6 linked regions of the Macaca mulatta genome follow. The protein of the gene in region 1 interacts with the protein of each later gene in a pairwise test. Links are inferred from orthologs where the notes say so. Each region holds a gene or a part of one and is shown in the gene's direction. Other genes may lie near its edges.

Region 1 (3,500 bases):
GCCTCCTGGGTTCAAGCCATTCTCCCGCCTCAGCCTCCAGAGTAGCTGGGATTACAGGTGTGTTCCACCATGCCCAGCTAATTTTTGTATTTTTAGTAGAGATGGGGTTTCACCGTGTTGACCAGGCTGGTCTCAAACTCCTGACCTCAGGTGATCCACCTGTCTTGGCCTCCCAAAGTGCTGGAATTACAGGCATGAGCTACCATGCCTGACTTTTTTTTTTTTTTGAGACAAAGTCTCGCTCTTTCGCCTAGGCTGGAGTGCAGTGGCCACAATCTTGGGTCACTGCAACCTCAGCCTCCTGGGTTCAAGCAGTTCTCCTGCCTCTGCCTCCTGAGTAGCTAGGATTACAGGCATGTGCCACCATGCCCGGTTAATTTTTGTATTTTTTTGTAGAGACTAGGTTTTACCATGTTGGCCAGGCTGGTCCTGACCTCCTGACTTAAAGTGATCCACCTGCCTGGCCTCCCAAAGTGCTGGGGTAACAGGCGTGAGCTATCGCGCCTGGCCTGAGAAATCTCATTCTTACTCCTACTCCTTTGTACCACACTATCTCCATCCTGTAGGTAGCCATTTCTATTAATTTCTTGTTTATTCTTATGTGTTTCTTTCATTCTTTTTCTTTCTTTTTTTTTTTTTTTTTTTTGAGACAATCTTGCTCTGTTGCCCAGACTGGAGTGTAGTGGCACAATCTTAGCTCCCTGCAACCTCCGCCTCCTGGGTTCAAGTGATTTTGATGACGCAGCCACCTAAGTAGTTGGGATTACACCACCGTGCCCAGCTAATTTTTGTATTTTTAGTAGGGATGGGGTTTCACCATGTTGTCCAGGCTAATCTCAAACTCTTGACCTCAAGGGATCTGCCTGCCTCGGCCTCCCAAAGTGCTGGGATTATAGGCATGAGCCACCATGCCCAGCCCTATGTTTCTTTTTACAAAAATAAGCAAATTTATATTTTTATTACTATTTTCCTTTTATTTTTACACATCAAGTAGAACATTAAATATATTTCTTTGTAATTTTTTTTCACTTACCTAAATCTTTTAGTGATCTCTCTCATCTTTTTAATCAGCTGGATAGCATTCTATCATGTGAATATTTCATAACTTCTATATACTGTCACCAGCAGGTAGCGATTTAGTTGTGTCCAGTATTTTAAAATGATACATAATGCCTCCATGAATGTAGTAACCTTTTGCATATATTGTTTTGTGCTTTGGGATAACACTACCTCATATTCAAAACTGTGTCATTACATGTGTCTTTAAAATTACATGTGTCTTTTTATTTTTATTTTTATTTTTTTTGAGTCAGAGTTTCACTCTTGTTGCCCAGGCTGGAGTGCAGTGGCGTGATCTCAGCTCACCGCAACCTCTGCCTCCCAGGTTAAAGCAATTCTCCTGCCTCAGCCTCCCCAGTAGGTGGGATTATAGGTGCCCGCCACCACGCCTGGCTAATTTTTGTATTTTTAGTAGGGACGGGGTTTCACCGTGTTGGCCAGGCTGGTCTCGAACTCCTGACCTCAGGTGATCCTCTCACCTCAGCCTCCCAAAATGCTGGGATTACAGACGTGAGCCACTGTGCCTGGCTATCTTTTTTTTTTTTTTTTTTTAATTGCTGCATAGTAGCCCGGCACGGTGGCTCATGCCTGTAATCCCAGCACTTCGGGAGGCAGAGGTGGGCAGATCACGAGGTCAGGAGACGGATACCATCCTGGCGAACAGGGTGAAACCCTGTCTCTACTAAAAATACAAAAAAAATTAGCCTGGCATGGTGGCGGGCACCTGTAGTCCCAGCTACTTGAGAGGCTGAAGCAGGAGAAGGGCGTGAACCTGGGACGTGGAGCTTGCAGTGAGCCGAGATTGTGCCACTGTACTCCAGCCTGGGCGACAGAGTGAGACTCTGTCTCAAAAACAAAAAAGCAAACAAACAAACAAAACAAACAAATTGCTGCATGGTATCCCATTGCATGAATAGTAACAGCAATTTTTGCAATGCATAGTATTCCATTGTATGAATAGTAATGTAACACAATTTGTTTATACATTTTTATGATTAAAAAGCAAAATGGTTTTTGGTAGCTATTCAGTTATTGTTACTTAATATATGCAATTCGATAGGCCAGTCTTTCAAAATAGAAGATATACCAGATAGGTCGGGCGTGGTGGCTCACGCCTGTAATCCCAGCACTTTGGGAGGATCACCTGAGGTGGGTGGATCACCTGAGGTTAGGAATTTGAAACCAGCCTGACCAAAATGGAGAAGCCCCATCTCTACTAAAAATACAAAATTAGCCGAGCGTGGTGGCGCATTCCTGTAATCCCAGCTTCTCAGGAGGCTGAGGCAGGAGAATTGCTTGAACCTGGGAGGCGAAGGTTGCAGTGAGGCAAGATCACGCCATTGCACTCCAGCCTGGGCAACAAGAGCAAACATATGCAAGGTAAACAAAAAGACCTTTGTGTTGAGTTGGTTGATTATGTGGTTATTTCACCCATCATATTTCTTATAGGGAATGGGTAAATTCGTTTCTTGGGTTTCTTTCAACATTTAGATGAAGTCTGACGTGGAACATGAGATCTGATTTTACTGGTGTAACTCGTTATTTGTCCCCTTGCCTCCCTTTCCAATGGACTATTTTAGAAGAAATGGAGCTGTCACCCACATCAAGATTCAGAACACTGGTGATTACTATGACCTGTATGGAGGGGAGAAATTTGCCACTTTGGCAGAGTTGGTCCAGTATTACATGGAACATCACGGGCAATTAAAAGAGAAGAATGGAGATGTTATTGAGCTTAAATATCCTCTGAACTGTGCAGATCCTACCTCTGAAAGGTCAGTAACATTTTAGTGACCACAAAGTCTGCTGCTCCCTTGTGCCCTATGTGTCAGAAATGCATGACTGAGGTCTGTGTATGACTTTCTGACTCCAAAGGCTTGTGACTGTTTTTTGAGCTGTAATCTTTAAAGAATTATTAAAGTGAGACTAATAGCATCAAATTATTTTCAGAGTACCTTTTTCTTGCAAAAGTTTTAATCAGTGTTACTTACACTCATCCTATGGGGATTGCATAGCATTCCTGCATATACTTGGTTACATGTATTAGTTTTAAGACTTATTGAACTTTGGCGGATAATCTTTGAGAGTTATTAGAAGAAAACAAATGATAATGGAGACACCAAAATAGCAGCAGTTTTCTATGGTGGCTCTCGACCAGTTATTCAGCAGTGCCACCAACAGATGTCAGTTTAAGCTCAGAAGTGGAAAAGCAGAGAGCTCAGAGGGTCAGCTTTTTCATCAATTCTTTTAATGTTATCTCCACAATTATGTGAGAGTGACCTTACTTAGAGAGAATTGTGTTATTTTCAAGATCTGTCCCCCTGTATTGGAACTAGCCTGATGAAAGCATGGGCTTGACTTATTTATTGATTGTATTTGTTTTGTACACTCCCAGTCTCCTCTCTGACTTGGTGCAAATTCAGGATCTCTTAGTTTGTATA
Region 2 (3,500 bases), on another chromosome or scaffold:
CAAGGGTAGTAGGGAATAGATGAAACAAGAATGGCAAAATATTGATAATTTTTGAAACTGGGTGGTGGGGCGTAACTGGGTGGTAGACTACTATAGTAGTCTACTTTTGTATATGTTTGAACAGTTTTATAATAACTGTAGAATTTTTTTTCAACAGTTGGAAAAATAACTGTTAGGAACTATTTAATTTTTCTAAAAAGTGAAAAAGAAGTAGGGCATTGCTAGGAAAAGATAGATTTAAGAGGTTTTATCCGACCTAAAAAAAAGTGGTACAGTCTGTTTTCCTGGCTGCTTACTACCAGTATAGAGGAATAAATCCATATTAAAAACCAATAATAGCTTTATTGTTTTATTTCTATTCAGTATATTGGCATTTATAAAATTTAATGTGAAAATTCACATTAAGGTTTTTTCTGATTTATTACCATGGAATTTTTGTCTTCTGATAATAAAAGTGTCATTGAACTATATATAGTCTTAGCAGAGAAGATAATTAATAATTGTAGGGTTTGTCCTAGTTCCATATTATTGCAAAAATTATCACCAAAATAAAAAACATCTCTTCAGGTATTCAGTTGGTCTTTCATCTTAATTGTGTTTGACTTGAAATCCTAGGCTTTTGACCTATATGAACAAAGATATGCTGCTGTGAAGATACATCAGCTTAATAAAAGCTGGAGAGATGAGAAGAAAGAAAACTACCACAAGTAAATACTAATACTTTATGGTTTTTTTTAATTGAATATTTTTTGAATGGTCATGGAGAATTAATACACTGTCTTCCTGTAGACATGCCTGCAGAGAGTATAGAATACATAAAGAACTGGATCACCCCAGAATAGTTAAACTCTATGATTATTTCTCCTTGGATACAGATACGTAAGTGAATATTAAGGTTTAATTTTTAAGGAAGGATATGCTTACTCTGTCTTTCCCCATCCTGTGTTGATGATATAAATACTCTCCATTTCCCCATTGTGATTCTGAATTCTTGGATAATACTTATGTCTAATTTCTTTTCTCTTCTCTGTTGTAGGTTTTGTACAGTGTTAGAATACTGTGAAGGCAATGACTTGGATTTCTATCTGAAGCAACACAAGTTAATGTCAGAGAAAGAAGCTAGGTCTATTGTAATGCAGATTGTAAATGCACTAAGATATCTCAATGAGATCAAACCCCCTATTATACATTATGATCTTAAGCCAGGTAATTATGAAATTTGTCTAATTTTTTTTAAAACGAGTATAGTTTTTTAAAGTCATTAAGTTATCTGAAAACATGATTTTTGGTTTCACTTTTAAGACATCAGTAGAATACTAGTAAAATTTAAAGTTACTAAAGTTATGTTTTTCATCTATGTATCATTAAAATAATCTTATATTTTATTCTTAGGAAACATCCTACTGGTAGATGGAACAGCATGTGGTGAAATCAAAATCACTGATTTTGGTCTGTCCAAGATTATGGATGATGATAGCTATGGTGTAGATGGAATGGATCTAACTTCTCAGGGGGCAGGCACTTACTGGTAAGTATATTACTAAAAACATCAGAATGTCTAGATTAGTGCCCAGTGCTTTTATGATAAAATTTAGGTTTTTTTTTTTTCCATGTGGCCATTAAGATTACTGTGGTAAAAGGTACTGATATTAAACTCTCAGTTGAGAGGGAGACTTCTGTGGTCATTCCTCTTCTCATCTGTTCTTACTGCAAATAACAGCATACTGGAGAGAGAATGACTTGGCATTAACAAGTGACTTCAGTACCTGCCAGTCAGAAACTCCTAACAGGAAGAATTCATTCATGGGTTTTCTTCTACAATGTTAAGGTGATGTTTATCATAAATATGAATACGTACGTTAATATAATATTTTAACTATTGCAAGCAAAAACTGCAAGCATCAAGCCCTCTCTGTGGAGGTTATATGGTTGCAGGGATTTTCGTTTTATTTTGAGACAGGGTCTTGCCCTATCACCCAGGCTGGAGTGCAGTGGTATAATCTTAGTTCACTGCAGCCTCAAACTCCTAGGCTCAAGCAATCCGCCCACTTACTCTTGAGTAACTGAGACCACAGGTACGCACCACTATGCCCAGCTAATCTAAATTTTTTGTAGAGACAAGGTCTTAATTTGTTGCCCAGGCTGGTCTTGAACTCCTAGTATCAAGTGATCTGCCTCTCCCAAAGTGCTTGGATTAGAGGCATGAGCCACTGCACCTGCCTGGTGGTTTTTGTGGAAGATGGATGTTTTGTTGGTTGTGAATGGGAGATAAATTTGACATATTCTTTGGACTTGACTTTCAGAAATCCCTTTTAAAGACTTAGTATGTATAGATTTAAATTTAGATATAATCACAGATTCATAGATACAAATCTAAATGACTGTCATCCCCCTCAGTATACCTACATGTTCACAGAAACTGCTTCAGCGTGAATTTTCAAACTTGTTAAATTCACCAGAGTGGAGAACATAAACTATAAAATTTCAGAACAAACTTAATTCTCAGAGAAAATTAGCATAAACAGTGACATTTTAATGGGAAGAAAGATAACTGCGTTCAAGTTCATTGAAACGGGATTGTGACTACGAACATAAATGTGACCTCAGGTTTTCCAGAACAGTGTTCACACAGCCTGAGCACATCATAACCAGTTACACATGATGCCGCTGGTCTGTATAGATACCACTTTTAATGAGCAGGGATTAGTCATATTCGTGTATTCTTTTAAAGCCACTTTAAAATTTTAAATTTGGCTTGTGGCATTTCCTAGGAACATGGATAAGATAAGAATGTCATGAATTTTTTATTCATATTTTAAGAAAACTATTCAAACTGCTAACCCCCTGAAAGTCAATATTCTCAAAGTCTTTGGACTTTTTTAGCAACAAGGCTCTTTTTTTTTTTTAACAACAAAATCTTACTCTAATCAACAAAACCAACAAAAACAAAGCATCCTGGTAGATTCTTAGATTCCATGGAAGATAGCTTGAAAACCATGTTCTAAATAATAAATTATTCTTCCTCTACAGGACATTCTCAATATTTGTTTCTCTCTCACTCTGGCTTCACTAGTATAGGGAAGGACAAGGAAATTTCCCTTTTACAGATAGTCAAGAGACAAAGACCTTATGTTTTAGGGTCTGTACTGGAAGGAGATACAATGATGGCATTGTTATATAAGGACATGGAATGTATTTCTCAGGGAAATCTGTGGTCCAAAAATTGGTTTATGTCTACAGTCATATTAGTTGTTTAGCTATGTACAGCTGACCTTGAATAAAATGGATTTGAAATGCATGGGTCCACTTTTATGTGGCTTTTTTTTTCGATAAATACATTGGAAAATTTTTTGGAGATTTGCAACAATTTGAAAAATCTCACTGACGAACCATGTGGCCTAAAAATATTGAAAAATTTGGCTGGAGGTGGTGGCTCACGCCTGTAATCCCAGCACTCTGGGAGACTGAGGTGGGCGGATCACTTGAGGTCAGGAGTTTGA
Region 3 (4,290 bases), on another chromosome or scaffold:
AAGGAAATGAATGATGGATGGAAGTTCTGTAATGGAAATACAACCATGGGCAAAGTGATAGAGGAGGGGTGGGTAGGAAACCCAATTTAGATGAGGTGGTCACTTAGACTTCTTTGAGAAGGTGGTATTTCAGCTGAGTCAGAAGGGTAGATGGAGCAAGCAGTGCATAGATGGCCAGGCTGGCAGGTAGAGCATTTAAAATGGTTCAAAGGTCCTCAGGCCAGGGGTGACGGGGTAAAGCAGAGACTAGCTACCATTTGCTTCATCAATCTTTTGGTGTGGGTGCCGAGGAGCATGAATAAGGTGAAAGACTGCTCCTAAGGAGATACATTAAAGGTGACACATTTGCCTACAGTAGCCTTCAACTTTGCAGACCAACAGTAATGGGAGTCCAGTCATACGCTTCTGCATGTTAGCCAGAACCTTCTGCTATGTTCTGAATTTGGCCTAAATTGAAGGATTCAAATATCATCTCAAACAACTTTTCCTCCTACAGACAAAGGTGAAGATTCAGGAGCTCACAGCCTCAGGGGGCAAAGCACAGATAAGAAAATCCAGGTGATAAGCGGCAGTTAACAGTGGCCCATACCAGGGACTTGCGCTCACAGAAGAGTTTTGAAGGCCTGGAATGCGTTTGAAGATGAGTTCATGAGCAGACAGAAAGGATTCCACTAACAGCGGAGAAACGCAAAGGTCATGTGTTTTTAGGGACCTCCAAGTGGTCGGTAAGGTTGGGGTCAGTATTAGTTTCTTTGCCTGTAAAATGGGGACAATAAGAATTCCTCGTCCCTTAACTATTCTCCACAGCAAGAAACCTTAAAGGTAGAGAAGAAAAGATAAATCTGTTTTCACAGTAAGTCCTTGTTAGTCACCAAAGATTGCAGGATCGCAGCAGGGCACACTCATCTGTACAGAACCAGTCTCCAAATGGGCGGTGCAAGGTGCAGCTCCACCTGCTCCACCACTAGGTGCAGAAGAATGTCTACGGCAGGGAGTTCTCAACTTGTGACCTTGGGTCTGCGGGGGTCTAGATGGACTTCAGCTGGCGCCCGTGTCGCATGTGAGTTTCCTGGGTAGTAGTAACCCCAAAAGGGCCGCGACGTCTACAGAAGTGCCACTACTTGGAATTCTCGTCCATGGCCACGTTCTCACTGCTGGGAGAAACAACAGGGTCAGGTCTAACACTCCTTTCTCGGATGCATGGGCGAACAGAAATATCCCTGGCCTTCACCTAATCGTGCCCTGAGAACACTTCCCCCGGGTAAGCAGTCACCACACTGATACTCCCACAGAGCGAAGTGCCGGAGCCCGTCGCCGGCGATTGCGCATCTCGTCGCGGAGAGCATTATGGGGTTGGTAGTCCAGACTGAGGCGCAGATAGCGGTCCTCGAAGCCATAGAACCACACTTCCCAGCAGGGCCCGCGCAGCAGGGCACGCAGAGTGTGTGCGTAAGCGACCAGATTTCCGGGGGAGCCGGGGGCGGGACTTCAGCGGAGGCCGGAGCGAGGTGTCGGGATGCAGCGCCCCGGGCCCTTCAGCACCCTCTACGGGCGGGTCTTGGCCCCGCTGCCCGGGAGGGCCGGGGGCGCGGCCTCTGGCGGAGGAGGGAACAGCTGGGACCTCCCGGGTTCCCACGTGCGGCTGCCGGGGCGTGCACAGTCCGGGACCCGTGGCGGTGCTGGCAACACAAGCACCAGCTGCGGGGACTCCAGCAGCATCTGCCCGGCCCCCTCCACGATGTCCAAAGCCGAGGAGGCCAAGAAGCTGGCGGGCCGCGCGGCCGTGGAGAACCACGTGAGGGTGAGCACCTGGGGACGTGGGGCGCGGGAAGCATGTCCTCGGCGTGTTGGGCTCCTGTTGCGCTTTCTGGGTGCTGCCGAGGCGCGCCTACCTCCTGGCAGGGCGGGGGCTGAGTGAGAGGGTAGAGAGTGTGCATTTTACCCGAGTTTAGACCCCTCTTCCTTGCTCTTTAGAGACCTTTTAGATGTGGAATCGGTTGGGGGCGAATCTTCTAATATTTGAGGTTTCGAAAGACTCCTTGTCTAGCTGGAACAGTTTGCAAAGTGGAGCCTGGTGTTGTCTCATGTTTGGAATGGGGGCTAGAGGCACTTGCCTTGTGGTCTCCTTATCAATAAATGGAAAATGGTGGGCTTTGGGACTGCGGAGAGGTTTTCATTTCTCGTTACTGACCCGGAAGCCGGCGGAGAGTTGGTTTGCTAGTGCTTTGAAATTTCAGTCGAATGTGGTTCTGGGCTTGGTGCGCGCCGGCCCCTGAGTGAACTCCTGGAGGGAAGGGAAGACCGGGACTTCAAACTTCCTTCTTTCCATAGGGCGGGGTGGACTAAGTCTGGAGGATGCTGGTTTATTTTTTAAGGCGGGGCTGCAGAGATGTTTAGCTGTTATTCGGCCAGGTCGTGGTCCCTACTTGTTTGTTAAGTGGCATGGTGCTGTTAGTGGAGTTTTTTTTTTTTTTTTTTTGATCCAGGTGGTTTTGCTGTCAGCAATCAAGTTAATTATCTTATTTGTAATAAGGAAGCCAAGTAGAGTATGTCTGCCCTGTGGTGTAGTTTCCTTGGTCTTACTGGTTTTTTATTTCTCATTTCTACTTATTAGAAAGTGGTATTAGAGTCTCTTTTCTTCTCTGATAATAGTTCTTTACATTTGTTAATGCTTTACTCAACAAAATTATTTTGCTTAGATGATGTTTGATGAGCTTCACCACAGCGTGTTTGAGTGGGAGTGGACAGTGTGGTAACCTGTGGCTCAGCCAGTTCTGTGGGAGGGATGTTCCAGTGTTCCCTTCTACCCTTTCCACTGCTACCCTGTTCTGGTGTAGCCTGTTGCAAGTCTGATTGGCAATAGGATTTTCTATGGGGATTAACAGAGATAATGTAAAATGTGTTAATTTGACCCTACCGTTGAGATTCAGTGCCTCAGTTGTAAAAGTGAGACAATAAGCTGAAATTTCAAAATGTCTGCATAAAGTGAATAGCTAATAGTTAAATGTAATCCGCATGAGAATACAATTAGAAAAGCACCGTATCTAAGTTGTTCAGTTAATGAATTTATGTTAATATTTGGTGGCACATCTCCCTGACCTTTGTGTTATAGTTATGTATTTGATTAAATAAAAATCTTCAGGCCCTGACCTTAGGCTAGAGCCCCAAAACACTGGATTCTGACCACATTTCATGAAGTTAGGCGATTTTGGGGAGATCTACAGTGACCTTTTGGGGGCACCTGTTAAAGGCATATATGCCCTTCAGGGTTTGGCTTAAAGTCCATTTCCTCCTTTCAGTTTTTCCTTAGCGTCCTAAGGAGAGGAAGAATTCTTTTCCGCGATTCTGTAGCACTTCACGCCTCTTATGTGCTTTATGTTGTATCTTATATTTTGGTCATCTGTGTGTTCATTTCTTCCAGCCCCTTAAACGGTAAGCTCCTGGAGGGCAGTTAACTTTCATTTAGCATTGGTCACAATGGGGCCTGCCCAGTACATGTATGTTCAATTGTGTGCAGTGTGGACACAAATATGAAAGTGTTGGGGTTATTGGAGGTTCTTTGTGTAGAATCTCTGGCGAGTAGGGCTTCCTGTTCCCTAGTCCATTGGAGTTCCAATATGTCGACCACTTCCATGTCTGGGTGGATGGAAAACATGGAGAGTTCTCAGGTGAATCCTTTGTATAGCCACCCTGGGCCCAGCTCTGTCTGTTTCTGGGGGTGTAGCTACCCAGGATGGGCCGCCATTCAGAACTAGGCTCTTCTGAACGTCTGTAGCCTCATCCCTTTGTTCTCTTTGGAGCCTAGGCTTTGTTTTTTTGACTGGCTTGGTTGAGGAAGCTGATGGGCGGTGGTTCTAGTTGGTTAGCAGAAGTAGTATTTCCAGAGTTACTCCATTTGACAAGCTGAGGGAAGTTCTGATGTTGCATATACGTGTGGTTTAATATTGCCCATTAGAATGGGGCCACTCCTCTAGCAGGGCCTGCTTGGCAGTCTTCTGCTGTTGGGCCACCTCATAGGCAGCCTTTGGTCACCTCTGGTTGGCTTTGGCAAAGACACTGATTCCTGGGCCAGTCATTTGATTCCAAGGCAGCAGGGATCACATGGTTGAAGAGCTTTAGGCCTGGCAGGGCCTTGCAATTCCTGGTCTCTTCCAAAAGGCAAAGAAGGAACCTTACACAGAGCTTGTCTGATTCATCCGAATTCACCTCTGTGCCACCTGCCTGCTGGGGACTGTGAGTGACCTGAATGTATGGCTAAGCTTGGTAACCAGGAATCTGGTGATTGAATGA
Region 4 (4,293 bases), on another chromosome or scaffold:
CCCCAATTTACCTTTCCAAGCCTGTTACTCTATTCCCCATATATACTCCCACTGTTTTAATCTAAGGATAATAAAAAAGAGAACTAAAATTCATTTAAGGCTTTTTTTGTGCAGAGCCAAATCTTAGCATTCTATATACTCTATAGATTATTTAATTCTTACATTAACTCTGTAAAGACAGTATTATTTCCACTGTCTTTATTATTTTAAAAATTATTATTTTAAAGATGGAGAAAATAAAATGCATAGATTTTAAATATTCTCTGTTTTCTTCCTAATACATGAAACTTCTTGTCCTTTCCTTTGCCTTTTAAACTTTGTTAAGGTTGTGCCTTTTGCCGCCTCCTTTCTTCCCTCTCCGTGTGTTTATGCTTCTTTCCAGGCCAATATAAAATGTCATCTTCCTTTTGAAAATTCTGTGTCCCTTCAAATTAGAATGACTCCTCAACCCCCATCAAACTTAGTTTTTATTTCATTTATAGTACTACTTTCTGCCTTCATTATTATTTGCCTACATGTCTTGTCTTTTATAAAGTTTGAATATCTGAAGAGCAGGATCTGTATCCTGAAGACCTCTTGTATCTAGTACAGAACAAGATACCTAAACTTAGATGGGTGGATAGATGAGTAGGTAGGAGGATAGATGCATGGAAAATGTGTATTTTCTGATCTAATGTTTTGCAGATTACCTAAAGCTAATCATCACAATTTTCTAAGTCTGTGGATGATTCCTAGGGCCCCAAACATGACACAGTAAACTCTATGACATGATGAAAAAAAAAAAAACAGCCTCCACACTTTTGCTTACATGGTTTTCTTTGCTTAAAGTACCTTTATCCCTCAGTCCTTCATTTCTTTATCTTAGGAGTGAAACTGCTTTTGGGAAGCCTTCCCCAAGTCTGTTAGGTGGAATCTATCATTCCATCCACTGTACTCCAGCAGAACATTATGTGGACCTGCATGTCACACTTACTCCTTTTACTGTGCGTAATTCTCCTGTGCTTTTCTGTTAGTGTAAACTGTAAGTTGTAAAACTCACCAAATATGAAAGTAATCATTAGCATTTATTAAAGTATACTACTTCCCTGGTGCTATATACTAAGCACATCATATTTATCTTGTTATTTAGCCCTTACAATAACCATTATTCTACAATAATAGATTGTTCTACAATAATAGAATAAGGTAGACACCATTTTTCTATTTTACAGATGAGTGATGGGGAAAGAGCTTTTGGAAGTTTGAGTTACTTCCTTATGGTCATGCAACTAAGTAAGTGTCTGAGATTCCAGAATCTGAATTATTACCCTCTATGCAGTGTTTTGTCTTGTTTGTTTCCCTGTCACCCTCACATGACACATAATAGACCTCAATAAAATAGTTAAGTAAGTGAATGACTGAACGACTGATCATAGCTATTCTCTAAATGTTTCTTGAGTGAATTGATTTATATAATCAGAGGAAAATGAATAATGGTTTCTTTTTCTCTTTAGCAGGAATTTTACCCTCTAGGGCATGAATACTGTGCTGTTCAGTTCTGAGCTGTGCTAGCAGTACCCTTCAAAGGAATAGCAATGGCTGCAGCAGCAGCTTCTCACCTGAACCTGGATGCCCTCCGGGAAGTGCTAGAATGCCCCATCTGCATGGAGTCCTTCACAGAAGAGCAGCTGCGTCCCAAGCTCCTGCACTGTGGCCATACCATCTGCCGCCAGTGCCTGGAGAAGCTATTGGCCAGTAGCATCAATGGTGTCCGCTGTCCCTTTTGCAGCAAGATTACCCGCATAACCAGCTTGACCCAGCTGACAGACAATCTGACAGTGCTAAAGATCATTGATACAGCTGGGCTCAGCGAGGCTGTGGGGCTGCTCATGTGTCGGTCCTGTGGGCGGCGTCTGCCCCGGCAGTTCTGCCGGAGCTGTGGTTTGGTGTTATGTGAGCCCTGCCGGGAGGCAGACCATCAGCCTCCTGGCCACTGTACACTCCCTGTCAAAGAAGCCGCTGAGGAGCGGCGTCGGGACTTTGGAGAGAAGTTGACTCGTCTGCGGGAACTTATGGGGGAGCTGCAGCGGCGGAAGGTAGCCTTGGAAGGTGTCTCCAAGGACCTTCAGGCAAGGTATAAAGCAGTTCTCCAGGAGTATGGACACGAGGAACGCAGGGTCCAGGATGAGCTGGCTCGCTCTCGGAAATTCTTCACAGGCTCTTTGGCTGAAGTTGAGAAGTCCAATAGTCAAGTGGTAGAGGAGCAGAGTTACCTTCTTAACATTGCAGAGGTGCAGGCTGTGTCTCGCTGTGACTACTTCCTGGCCAAGATCAAGCAAGCAGATGTAGCACTCCTGGAGGAGACAGCTGATGAGGAGGAGCCAGAGCTTACTGCCAGCTTACCTCGGGAGCTCACCCTGCAAGATGTGGAGCTCCTTAAGGTAGGTCATGTTGGCCCCCTCCAAATTGGGCAAGCTGTTAAGAAGCCCCGGACAGTTAACATGGAAGATTCCTGGGCCATGGAGGCGGCAGCCTCTGCTGCTTCTACCTCTGTTACATTTAGAGAGATGGACATGAGCCCGGAGGAAGTGGTTGCCAGCCCTAGGGCCTCACCTGCTAAACAGCGGGGTCCTGAGGCAGCCTCCAATATCCAGCAGTGCCTCTTTCTCAAGAAGATGGGGGCCAAAGGCAGCACTCCAGGAATGTTCAATCTACCAGTCAGTCTCTACGTGACCAGTCAAGGTGAAGTGCTAGTTGCTGACCGTGGTAACTATCGTATACAAGTCTTTACCCGCAAAGGCTTTTTGAAGGAAATCCGCCGCAGCCCCAGTGGCATTGATAGCTTTGTGCTAAGCTTTCTTGGGGCGGATCTACCCAACCTCACTCCTCTCTCAGTGGCAATGAACTGCCAGGGGCTGATTGGTGTGACTGACAGCTATGATAACTCCCTCAAGGTATATACCTTGGATGGCCACTGTGTGGCCTGTCACAGGAGCCAGCTGAGCAAACCATGGGGTATCACAGCCCTGCCATCTGGCCAGTTTGTAGTAACTGATGTGGAAGGTGGAAAGCTTTGGTGTTTCACAGTTGATCGAGGATCAGGGGTGGTCAAATACAGCTGCCTGTGCAGTGCTGTGCGGCCCAAATTTGTCACCTGTGATGCTGAGGGCACCGTCTACTTCACCCAGGGCTTAGGCCTCAATCTGGAGAATCGACAGAATGAGCACCACCTGGAAGGTGGCTTTTCCATTGGTTCTGTAGGTCCCGATGGGCAGCTGGGTCGCCAGATTAGCCACTTCTTCTCGGAGAATGAGGATTTCCGCTGCATTGCTGGCATGTGTGTGGATGCTCGTGGTGATCTCATTGTGGCTGACAGTAGTCGCAAGGAAATTCTCCATTTTCCTAAGGGTGGGGGCTATAGTGTCCTTATTCGAGAGGGACTTACTTGTCCGGTGGGCATAGCCCTCACTCCTAAGGGGCAGCTGCTGGTCTTGGACTGTTGGGATCATTGCATCAAGATCTACAGCTACCATCTGAGAAGATACTCCACCCCATAGGGGATGAGAAATATCATTTTCTTCTGCTCCCAAGCCAGCTTCCCTTCCCATAGTTCTTGGTTGTTAGTGGCACATAGAGAATAGACTCGGCATATGTCCTGATTCCAGCTGGGTAGTTCTAGAACTTTAGAAGCTCCATCTTTTTATGTTTTTTATTTGTTATTTTCCCCTCCCCACTTCCCACCTAAATTTAGAGCTTTAAAAGATGCACTGCCCAAATAGGACACGCAATGGTGTTAGCTGAAGTTTGATTAGCAATTAGGCACTTCCAAGGCTTTAGTAGAGAGAGCCACTTTAGCCCTTTGTGCCATGTTTGAAATGTGCCCTTGTATTAAATCCTTGATTTTTTCCCGTTTGGCTCTGATGCCCTTGATCCATTGTTTCCTTCCTATTACAATGTGCTTCATCTGTGACACTTTCTCTTCAACTCTGATTGGATTCACTGTGCATGCTTCAGTGGGATATGCTCCACCTTTCAGTGACATTTCAGACATATTCCTGTAACATTATGTCTCAGTCTGATCGTCTTTACCAGTGTGAAAGCTCATTCATTTAGTGCTACCAAAGGGGATACACAGGCCCTTTAGGAAGCAGTACCTCTCGCCTGGAGGATCTGTGCCATCTTGGATTGAGAACTGCAGATGTGACAGAATGGATTGACCCTAGTTGGTTGGTATTGACGACTTCAGCCTGGAAATTGCTTGCCTTTTAAAGAAGCATAATATGGATTGGAATTATGCCAAAGCATAGGAAGCTA
Region 5 (3,500 bases), on another chromosome or scaffold:
TCAGGAGATCGAAACCATCCTGGCTAACACGGTGAAATCCCGTCTCTATTAAGAAATACAAAAAACTAGCCGGGCGAGGTGGTGGGCGCCTGTAGTCCCAGCTACTCGGGAGGCTGAGGCCGGAGAATGGCGTGAACCCGGGAGGCGGAGCTTGCAGTGAGCTGAGATCCGGCCACTGCACTCCAGCCTGGGCGACAGAGCGAGACTCCGTCTCAAAAAAAAAAAAAAAAGATTATGTGATGTGTGAAGGCAGAGCCGCGATTGGCACTGATGTTATTAATGCACAGCATTGGTGGTGGTGGGTTCAAAACAAGTTTCCTCTATTCCACTTGAGAAGTGTGTTTATCTGTCCCCCCAGTCCTTCCTTTCTCTCTCCTAAGACAAGTCCAACTTATGATTCTCCTTTCCATGGATGTATATAAAGACAATATTTTGTTCATGGTGAGAGGCCATGCTTTATAAGAAGTTAATGTTTGTTTTTTGCCTCCTACTGAGTTCTGGCGGAGTTGGGTGAAGGAGTGTCCAGCTGACAATATGATTGAATCATAAAGGCTGGCTTTCTATCTTACAAGTGAAATGTCCGAAAACAGATTTGATTTCTTTCAATTCATTCTGAGAATAATTTATTTGTGGGATAAAACCAGTTAAGTAAGATTTAGTTCCTTATAAATTGTCCAGAATATCCTGTATGTTTTGAAGTAGAGTGGAAGCTAGAGTTTGTAAAACCAGTTTCTGAAGTCAGTATTTGGCAGTAAATGCCTTTCTTTGACTACTGTCTTTATTTTGTAAATCACATAGTTTGGTTTAACTAGCTAAAATGTTGACAGATGTTGGAAAGTAAAAGGTTTTCCAATAGGGCTAGGTTGTATCATGGGGTGGAGCGGGGAAAGTTGGCAGTAATGTTTGCTGTTGGGCACACGATTTGGAAATGTAGTTGTTTACCAAAAAATGATGTATGGGCCATTGTGCTTCCCCTGTTCCTGCCTTCCAGATAATGTTCTGTGTCACCTCCCTCCCCTTGTCACTGCCTTGATGTCATCAGCATTGAGAGCTGTGCAATCCCTAAAAGTGTGGTGTTGATAAACAAGTAAACTACTGAGTATACTTAATGATGTAATCCCTGTTAAACGTGGTGGCCGGGCTAGGAGAGGGGTTTTGACACAGAATTATTTTGCAGTGCATCAAACCTAAGCAACTTCTGACAGACACATGTGTATATTGTGTTGGTTTTGAAGGAAGGGCTGGAAATTTGTTGATGTGTTGACAAAGATTTCTGTGGCAGTAAATGTGGTTTCTTGTGTTTTTCCCTTCCAGGAAGCTTGGTTAGCTGGTTGGTTGGTTTGCAGAGTGTGAGGATTGTGGATAATCAGCCTCATGTCCTTACCCTTCCTCCCCCAGTATTGTGAAAGCAAATGTACATGCCCTGACCTTGTGGTTTTCTGCTTGTTGGAATGAACCTGTCTGTGTTGGGCAGTTTATGCCTTTGGTGGGACCCCCATGTGCCACTACACAAAGAAGGACCATGTTTTCCTCAGGGGAATCCATGGGCTGAGAAGACTAGGGAGCCAGAGGCCCTTTCCCCAAGCCCCCTGCTCTCCCCTTCCCAGGTTCTGGCCTAAGGACCAGCCAGAAACCTGCCGAGCGTCAGCCAAACCTGCAAGTGGCTTCTGGGCTGCTCCGTTCCCTGTGTGAGCTTTCCCTGTCTGCTGCTGCTGCCGCTCTCCCCTCCATGGCACTGATGAGCTTCCCATGTTCTGGACTTTCTCATTTCCCTGGGCAGATGGAATTCATCCCATTTACTCCCTGCCTTTTGCCTATTCCTAAGACCAGTGACCCCAGCCAAAGGCCTCAGCCCTGTTTTCTCACCATTGGTCCGTGGCTGACCTGAGGGTTGCCCTTTCTCCATCTGGGTGCTCCTCTCGTATTCTGTTTGTTTTTGTTGGTTCCTGTAAACATTAGGATTCTGTTTTAAGGTTTCTAGGGGGAGCCACAAAGCCCATTTTTTCGTATTTGACCAAAGCAGCAATTAGAGGGTCACATCCTCATGCCTCATCTGCCCTTTTCGGTGTGAATGTCCTCTTTGTGATGACTTTATGCACTCCCTTTTGCTTTTTGGTTGTTCCAGTCTCCATTCAAATCCATGACAAAGACTCTGCCCTCTCGTGGGCAGGACCTTGGTGAGGCCACAGGTGCTCACTGCTGAGTTGGGAGGAGGCCTGGGTGGGCTTCAGGGACCTGCAGAGTGTAGCAAGCACAGATGCTTGGGGTTGGGGGTGGGCCCGCAGCAGAAGCCCCCAAGAAGAGACCTGAGGTCCGTGGGTTGCTAGGCTCCAGGCATCTTTATTTCCACAGTCAGAGCAGATCCAAGGAGCCACCACCATAGGCTTTCATATCCCTCTGCCCCAGGTCTCTGGGGCCTCTGCCACACACCTCACCTCTCCCCTCCTGCCCTAATAAATCTTAGCGCAGCTGGTAGGTTTGCCACCTTTAATGCTTAACCGTAAGGTCTGTGACCAGATGGCTTGAGTGTTCTGATGACACAGCCAGGACTGCCTGGCCAAGAATGGCAGAGACACTGTTTGCCTCTAGGTAAAATCGAAGAACCACTCTGAGAGCCAGGGGGTGGGGGTGAGAGTTTGTGTGCCCATTCTGACACTTGCATAGTAGAAAAAGCAAGATAATGAGGAAGGACATCCCCGTGTTATTCATGCGTTCTTATCCAAGGGGGCTGAATAGCTCCTTCTATTCCATGGTTAAGATTCTTCTGTTACTCTTACTCAAGTCATAGAAAAGACGAAAGAGGTAAAAGCACTTAAAAGCCACATTTATCTCTTCCTTGCAGACCTGAAAGGAAGCGGAGAGATGTCATGCAAGTGGCCAACACCACCATGTCCAGCCGAAGCAGGAACACCACGGTGGCAGACACCTACAACATCACAGATCTGGAAGAGCTAGAGACAGAGTACCCTTTCTTTGAGAGCAGAGTGGATAATAAGGAGAGAACTGTCATTTCTAACCTTCGGCCTTTCACATTGTACCGCATTGATATCCACAGCTGCAACCACGAGGCTGAGAAACTGGGCTGCAGCGCCTCCAACTTTGTCTTTGCAAGGACTATGCCTGCAGGTACGGTATATCCGGGTGGCCCCATTGCCACCTTCCTCACAACCTAGTGGAGAAGATGTGTTTTATGGACAAAGGGTCTGACACCCAGGGCCACAACCCTTAGACTGAGGTCTGCCTGCTAAATAACGTGCGATCATTGGCAGGTGGCGTAGTAGACCAGCTGCCTAGGGAATAGAGCTCATGCTTTCCTAGTGACACCACTCCCAGCCTGGTCTCTCCGTGGAACATGCTGGGAGCAGGGAGCTGTCTGCATGGTCCGCCCTCCACCTGCTACTCGGTGCACATCGTGCACTCCCACTGTCTTTTGCCCCTCTTGTGCACAAATCGGGTTGCGGGGCCCCCCCCCAACCCCGAGCTCTGACATATTCAGAGAT
Region 6 (3,500 bases), on another chromosome or scaffold:
GGGAAAATAAAACCAACACATATAAATCAGGACAAGTATTGTTACTGTGGTATTCAGAGAAGTGATGGCTGGGGTGAGTGGGACAGGTGAGTGCTATAGGAGTCAAAGGAGAGGTGCATAGATGAGGGTAGAGTAGTCAAGGATGGCTTCTCTGCAGATGCTAACATTGGAGCTACATCTAGAAGCCCAGGAGGATTTTTGAACTGAGGAGTGATGTGTTCGAAGAAATTCCTTATCATTTGGGGTTGAGAGTGGTATCTTCTGGAGTATCAGTAAGACCTTGAACCACACTGGTGAGGGTATGGGGAAGTGTCAACACATGAATCAACCATGAGTACATACGGATCCTCCTTCCTCTGTCAGCTTCTTCCTGTGAGACCTACGAGTACCCACAGCGTGGTGGAGAGAGTGCAGGCCGGTCTGCTGAATCCATGAGTGATGGAGTCGGCTCTTTACTGGTGAGTGTGGGTTAACCAGGGGTCCTCAGGCAGGCCTGGTTAGGTAAAAGGCCACACCTTATGGAACTAAAAGCACAACCCCAAAAAAGTGATGGCATCTCCATCTTAAGACCCTGCCCAAGTTCTTGTCTCAGTTCAGAACCCTGCGTTGAGTCTTTGGACAAGTAAGATACAAGTATTCTAGTCCGGAAGAAATGTATGTGCTAAGGTAGACTGGATTACAAGGTTCACCAACCTTATAGGTAAGCAGAGGGTCTAGAATGCAATAGACCCAGGCTGCACGGTGGGGGATCTTCTAAGGCAACAACCTTACCCACATGGCCTCACATATAGGAGGGAGGCTGCAGTGTGAGACTCCAGGCAAGGGTAGTACTCACAGTCATGCTAAGTGGCAGAATTATGGCTTGAGAGCAGGATCCCAGGCTGCCCTCTGGAAGATGCTAACACAGTTCTCCAACGTGTCAGGCAAGAAAACCAAGGCCTGGCTTCAGGCCCACTGGAAAGACAGTGAAATCAGGTAACCAAGGCAGAAGCAGCTTAGTTGTATGTCAGGGCACGTAGAACAAGAGTTAGAAGAAGGCTATAGCTTAGGGTGCTGTATTGCACAACTCTGTAGAAGCTCCAACTGCAGCTTGGTGGTCCCCTAGGTGCCTGGAGTGAGCCCCAGGTACTTAGGAACCTGGACTGGGGAAACACAACTGGCCCCAGACCTCACCTTTCAGAGCCAGGACTCCTAATATGCTCCTTGTTCTGATCCAGGGCCCGAGATGCTGACCTGCCAATGGTGAGTCTGGACTTGAGGTGGAGGGCAGGTCCTGAACCAAACCTACAGTCTATGGACTATGCTACCCACGGTGTTGGTCAGGCATCCAGAAAGCCAAGTGGACCCAGTCACCAAGAATATTTTATACTCTAGATTTATCAAAAATTATTGGTGGATGCCAAAGGATCATGAAGGCTTGAAGGGGCCCACAGACCTCATATATTCTTGTCTCCCACTCTGCTTCCTTTTATTTTTTATTTTTTGAAACAGAATCTCGCTCTGTCACCCAGGCTGGAGTGCAGTGGTGTGATCTTGGCTCACTACAACCTCAGCCTCCCAGCTTCAAGCGATTCTCGTGTCTCAGCCTCCTGAGTGGCTGGGATTACAAGCATATGTCACCACGCCCAGCTAATGCTTTGTATTTTTAGTAGAGAGGAAGTTTCGCCTTGTTGGCCAAGCTGGTTTCGAACTCCTCACCTCAAGTGATCCAACTGCCTTAACCTCCCACTACTCTGCTTTCTTATTTGGTCTCCCCAGGGTCTCCCTTACAGCTTCAAAGTGTAGCTAACCCAGTCATGACTTGTCTTGCCTAGTTTACAAAGTCTTACCTACTTCCTGTTTCTTCTTGCTAGTAACAGCTGTATTTCTTTCACTGTTCCTCTCCCTAGCCAGGGAAAATGACTGTGGGCCGATCAGACAGCACCAATTCTGAAGACAACTATGTGCCCATGAACCCAGGTTCTTCCACCCTGTTGGCCATGGAACGAGCAGGTGATAATTCCCAGAGCGTCTACATCCCAATGAGCCCAGGGGCCCATCACTTTGACTCACTTGGCTACCCATCAACAACCCTTCCTATGCACCGAGGCCCCAGCAGAGGAAGTGAGATCCAGCCACCCCCTGTCAACCGCAACCTCAAACCTGATCGGAAAGGTAAGTCCATTCTTTCCCCTGTCCCATCTCTGGACAATAGCTAGGGACTCTTTCCATTTGCTTAGGGGTCATGTGGATCCTTGGGATGTGTGACTTTGGGCAAATCATGTAAATTCTGAGTCTCAGTTTTCTTATCTGTGAAATGAAGATGGTAATTCCTACCTTCCAGGTTTGCTGTGAAGGAGAGCATCTAGGATAGTACTTTGGTACACAGCAGGCATTCAGTAAAGTCAGGTTTGTGCTCCCTGCATGTAGACCAGGCAAGTTACCAGTCTGCTGTGATCTCAAACTCTCCTGATCTTGGATTAGTGGCAAGGATTCAAAGGGAGGAGTAGGATAGCTGGGCAGAGATAGCCCCCTGTGGGTCTGACCAACAGGGAATTCAAATCTTAGCATGTGAAACTGAAGCCCTCAGGCCCTTGTGGCATCTACCTTCCTCCACTGTGGCTTGCACAGACCTGGCCAGGAGCAGCAGAGAGTAGTCACAGTGACCATCTCCACTTCAAATATGGTCTCTTGGCTGGGTGCCATGGCTCATGCCTGTAACCCCAACACTTTGGGAGGCTGAGGCGAGTGGATCACCTGAGGTCAGGAGTTTGAGACCAGCCTGGCCAAAACAGTGAAACTCCGTCTCTACTAAAAATGCAAAAATTAGCCAAGCGTGGTGGCAGGCTCCTGTAGTCCCAGCTACTAGGGAGGCTGAGGCAGGAGGATCAGTTGAACCCAGGAGGCAGAGGTTGCAGTGAGCTGAGATTGCACCACTGCACTGCAGCCTGAGCAACACAGCGAGACCCTGTCTCAAAGAAAATATATGTAAATATATATGTATATATAAATATATATTAATATCTGTATTATATATAAATATATCTTTATATATAGTCTCTTATTTTTAAATGAAGTCATAAATCGAGGGAGAAGAATCTGTTGTCAAACCCTGTGTCCTCATTTTTGATTCTGAAAATATAATTACCGTAGATACAGCAGAAAGAATATTTAATTTGGAGTCTGAAGACATGACTTCAAGGCCCATCAATATGGGCAAAGATTATATAACCTCGCTGAGCATCAGTTTCCCTGTGTGAAACTGGAATGACTTTGCAGGCCTTTATAAACATGCTCATGTGTTATATATAAGTTGTGTATGTGTAGCATTATTACTGGCTGATTACCAGACTTTCTTTTCCTGCTCCAGCAAAGCCAACACCACTTGACCTGAGAAACAACACTGTCATCGATGAACTCCCCTTCAAGTCACCTATCACCAAGTCTTGGTCTAGGGCCAGGTGAGTGCCTATGTGTGGGGGTGGGAGCTTGGAGTCAGCCCATTAGAGAAGATGAGTGAA

Evidence for each region.
Region 2: the proteins of PTPN11 (region 1) and TLK1 interact in binary tests that used the Homo sapiens proteins (3 or more experiments, as listed by UniProt). The link is inferred for Macaca mulatta from reciprocal best matches to the Homo sapiens genes PTPN11 and TLK1.
Region 3: the proteins of PTPN11 (region 1) and RPIA interact in binary tests that used the Homo sapiens proteins (3 or more experiments, as listed by UniProt). The two-hybrid records come from large-scale screens. The link is inferred for Macaca mulatta from reciprocal best matches to the Homo sapiens genes PTPN11 and RPIA.
Region 4: the proteins of PTPN11 (region 1) and TRIM32 interact in binary tests that used the Homo sapiens proteins (3 or more experiments, as listed by UniProt). The link is inferred for Macaca mulatta from reciprocal best matches to the Homo sapiens genes PTPN11 and TRIM32.
Region 5: the proteins of PTPN11 (region 1) and IGF1R interact in binary tests that used the Homo sapiens proteins (3 or more experiments, as listed by UniProt). The link is inferred for Macaca mulatta from reciprocal best matches to the Homo sapiens genes PTPN11 and IGF1R.
Region 6: the proteins of PTPN11 (region 1) and GAB2 interact in binary tests that used the Homo sapiens proteins (3 or more experiments, as listed by UniProt). The link is inferred for Macaca mulatta from reciprocal best matches to the Homo sapiens genes PTPN11 and GAB2.

Annotation. Positions count from the first base shown.
Region 1 is NC_133416.1:119,689,569-119,693,068, forward strand, and holds part of PTPN11 (tyrosine-protein phosphatase non-receptor type 11), read left to right. Parts: intron 1-2,639; coding exon 2,640-2,834; intron 2,835-3,500. UniProt on the Homo sapiens protein: Acts downstream of various receptor and cytoplasmic protein tyrosine kinases to participate in the signal transduction from the cell surface to the nucleus. Positively regulates MAPK signal transduction pathway. Dephosphorylates GAB1, ARHGAP35 and EGFR.
Region 2 is NC_133417.1:75,961,108-75,964,607, reverse strand, and holds part of TLK1 (serine/threonine-protein kinase tousled-like 1), read left to right. Parts: intron 1-615; coding exon 616-707; intron 708-789; coding exon 790-879; intron 880-1,036; coding exon 1,037-1,206; intron 1,207-1,392; coding exon 1,393-1,528; intron 1,529-3,500. UniProt on the Homo sapiens protein: Rapidly and transiently inhibited by phosphorylation following the generation of DNA double-stranded breaks during S-phase. This is cell cycle checkpoint and ATM-pathway dependent and appears to regulate processes involved in chromatin assembly.
Region 3 is NC_133418.1:25,423,322-25,427,611, reverse strand, and holds the start of RPIA (ribose-5-phosphate isomerase), read left to right. Parts: upstream 1-1,490; 5' UTR 1,491-1,516; coding exon 1,517-1,801; intron 1,802-4,290. UniProt on the Homo sapiens protein: Catalyzes the reversible conversion of ribose-5-phosphate to ribulose 5-phosphate and participates in the first step of the non-oxidative branch of the pentose phosphate pathway.
Region 4 is NC_133420.1:41,594,681-41,598,973, reverse strand, and holds the start of TRIM32 (E3 ubiquitin-protein ligase TRIM32), read left to right. Parts: upstream 1-1,493; 5' UTR 1,494-1,574; coding exon 1,575-3,536; 3' UTR 3,537-4,293. UniProt on the Homo sapiens protein: E3 ubiquitin ligase that plays a role in various biological processes including neural stem cell differentiation, innate immunity, inflammatory resonse and autophagy.
Region 5 is NC_133412.1:89,165,284-89,168,783, forward strand, and holds part of IGF1R (insulin-like growth factor 1 receptor precursor), read left to right. Parts: intron 1-2,842; coding exon 2,843-3,126; intron 3,127-3,500. UniProt on the Homo sapiens protein: Receptor tyrosine kinase which mediates actions of insulin-like growth factor 1 (IGF1). Binds IGF1 with high affinity and IGF2 and insulin (INS) with a lower affinity. The activated IGF1R is involved in cell growth and survival control.
Region 6 is NC_133419.1:78,650,759-78,654,258, reverse strand, and holds part of GAB2 (GRB2-associated-binding protein 2), read left to right. Parts: intron 1-363; coding exon 364-458; intron 459-1,889; coding exon 1,890-2,154; intron 2,155-3,349; coding exon 3,350-3,440; intron 3,441-3,500. UniProt on the Homo sapiens protein: Adapter protein which acts downstream of several membrane receptors including cytokine, antigen, hormone, cell matrix and growth factor receptors to regulate multiple signaling pathways.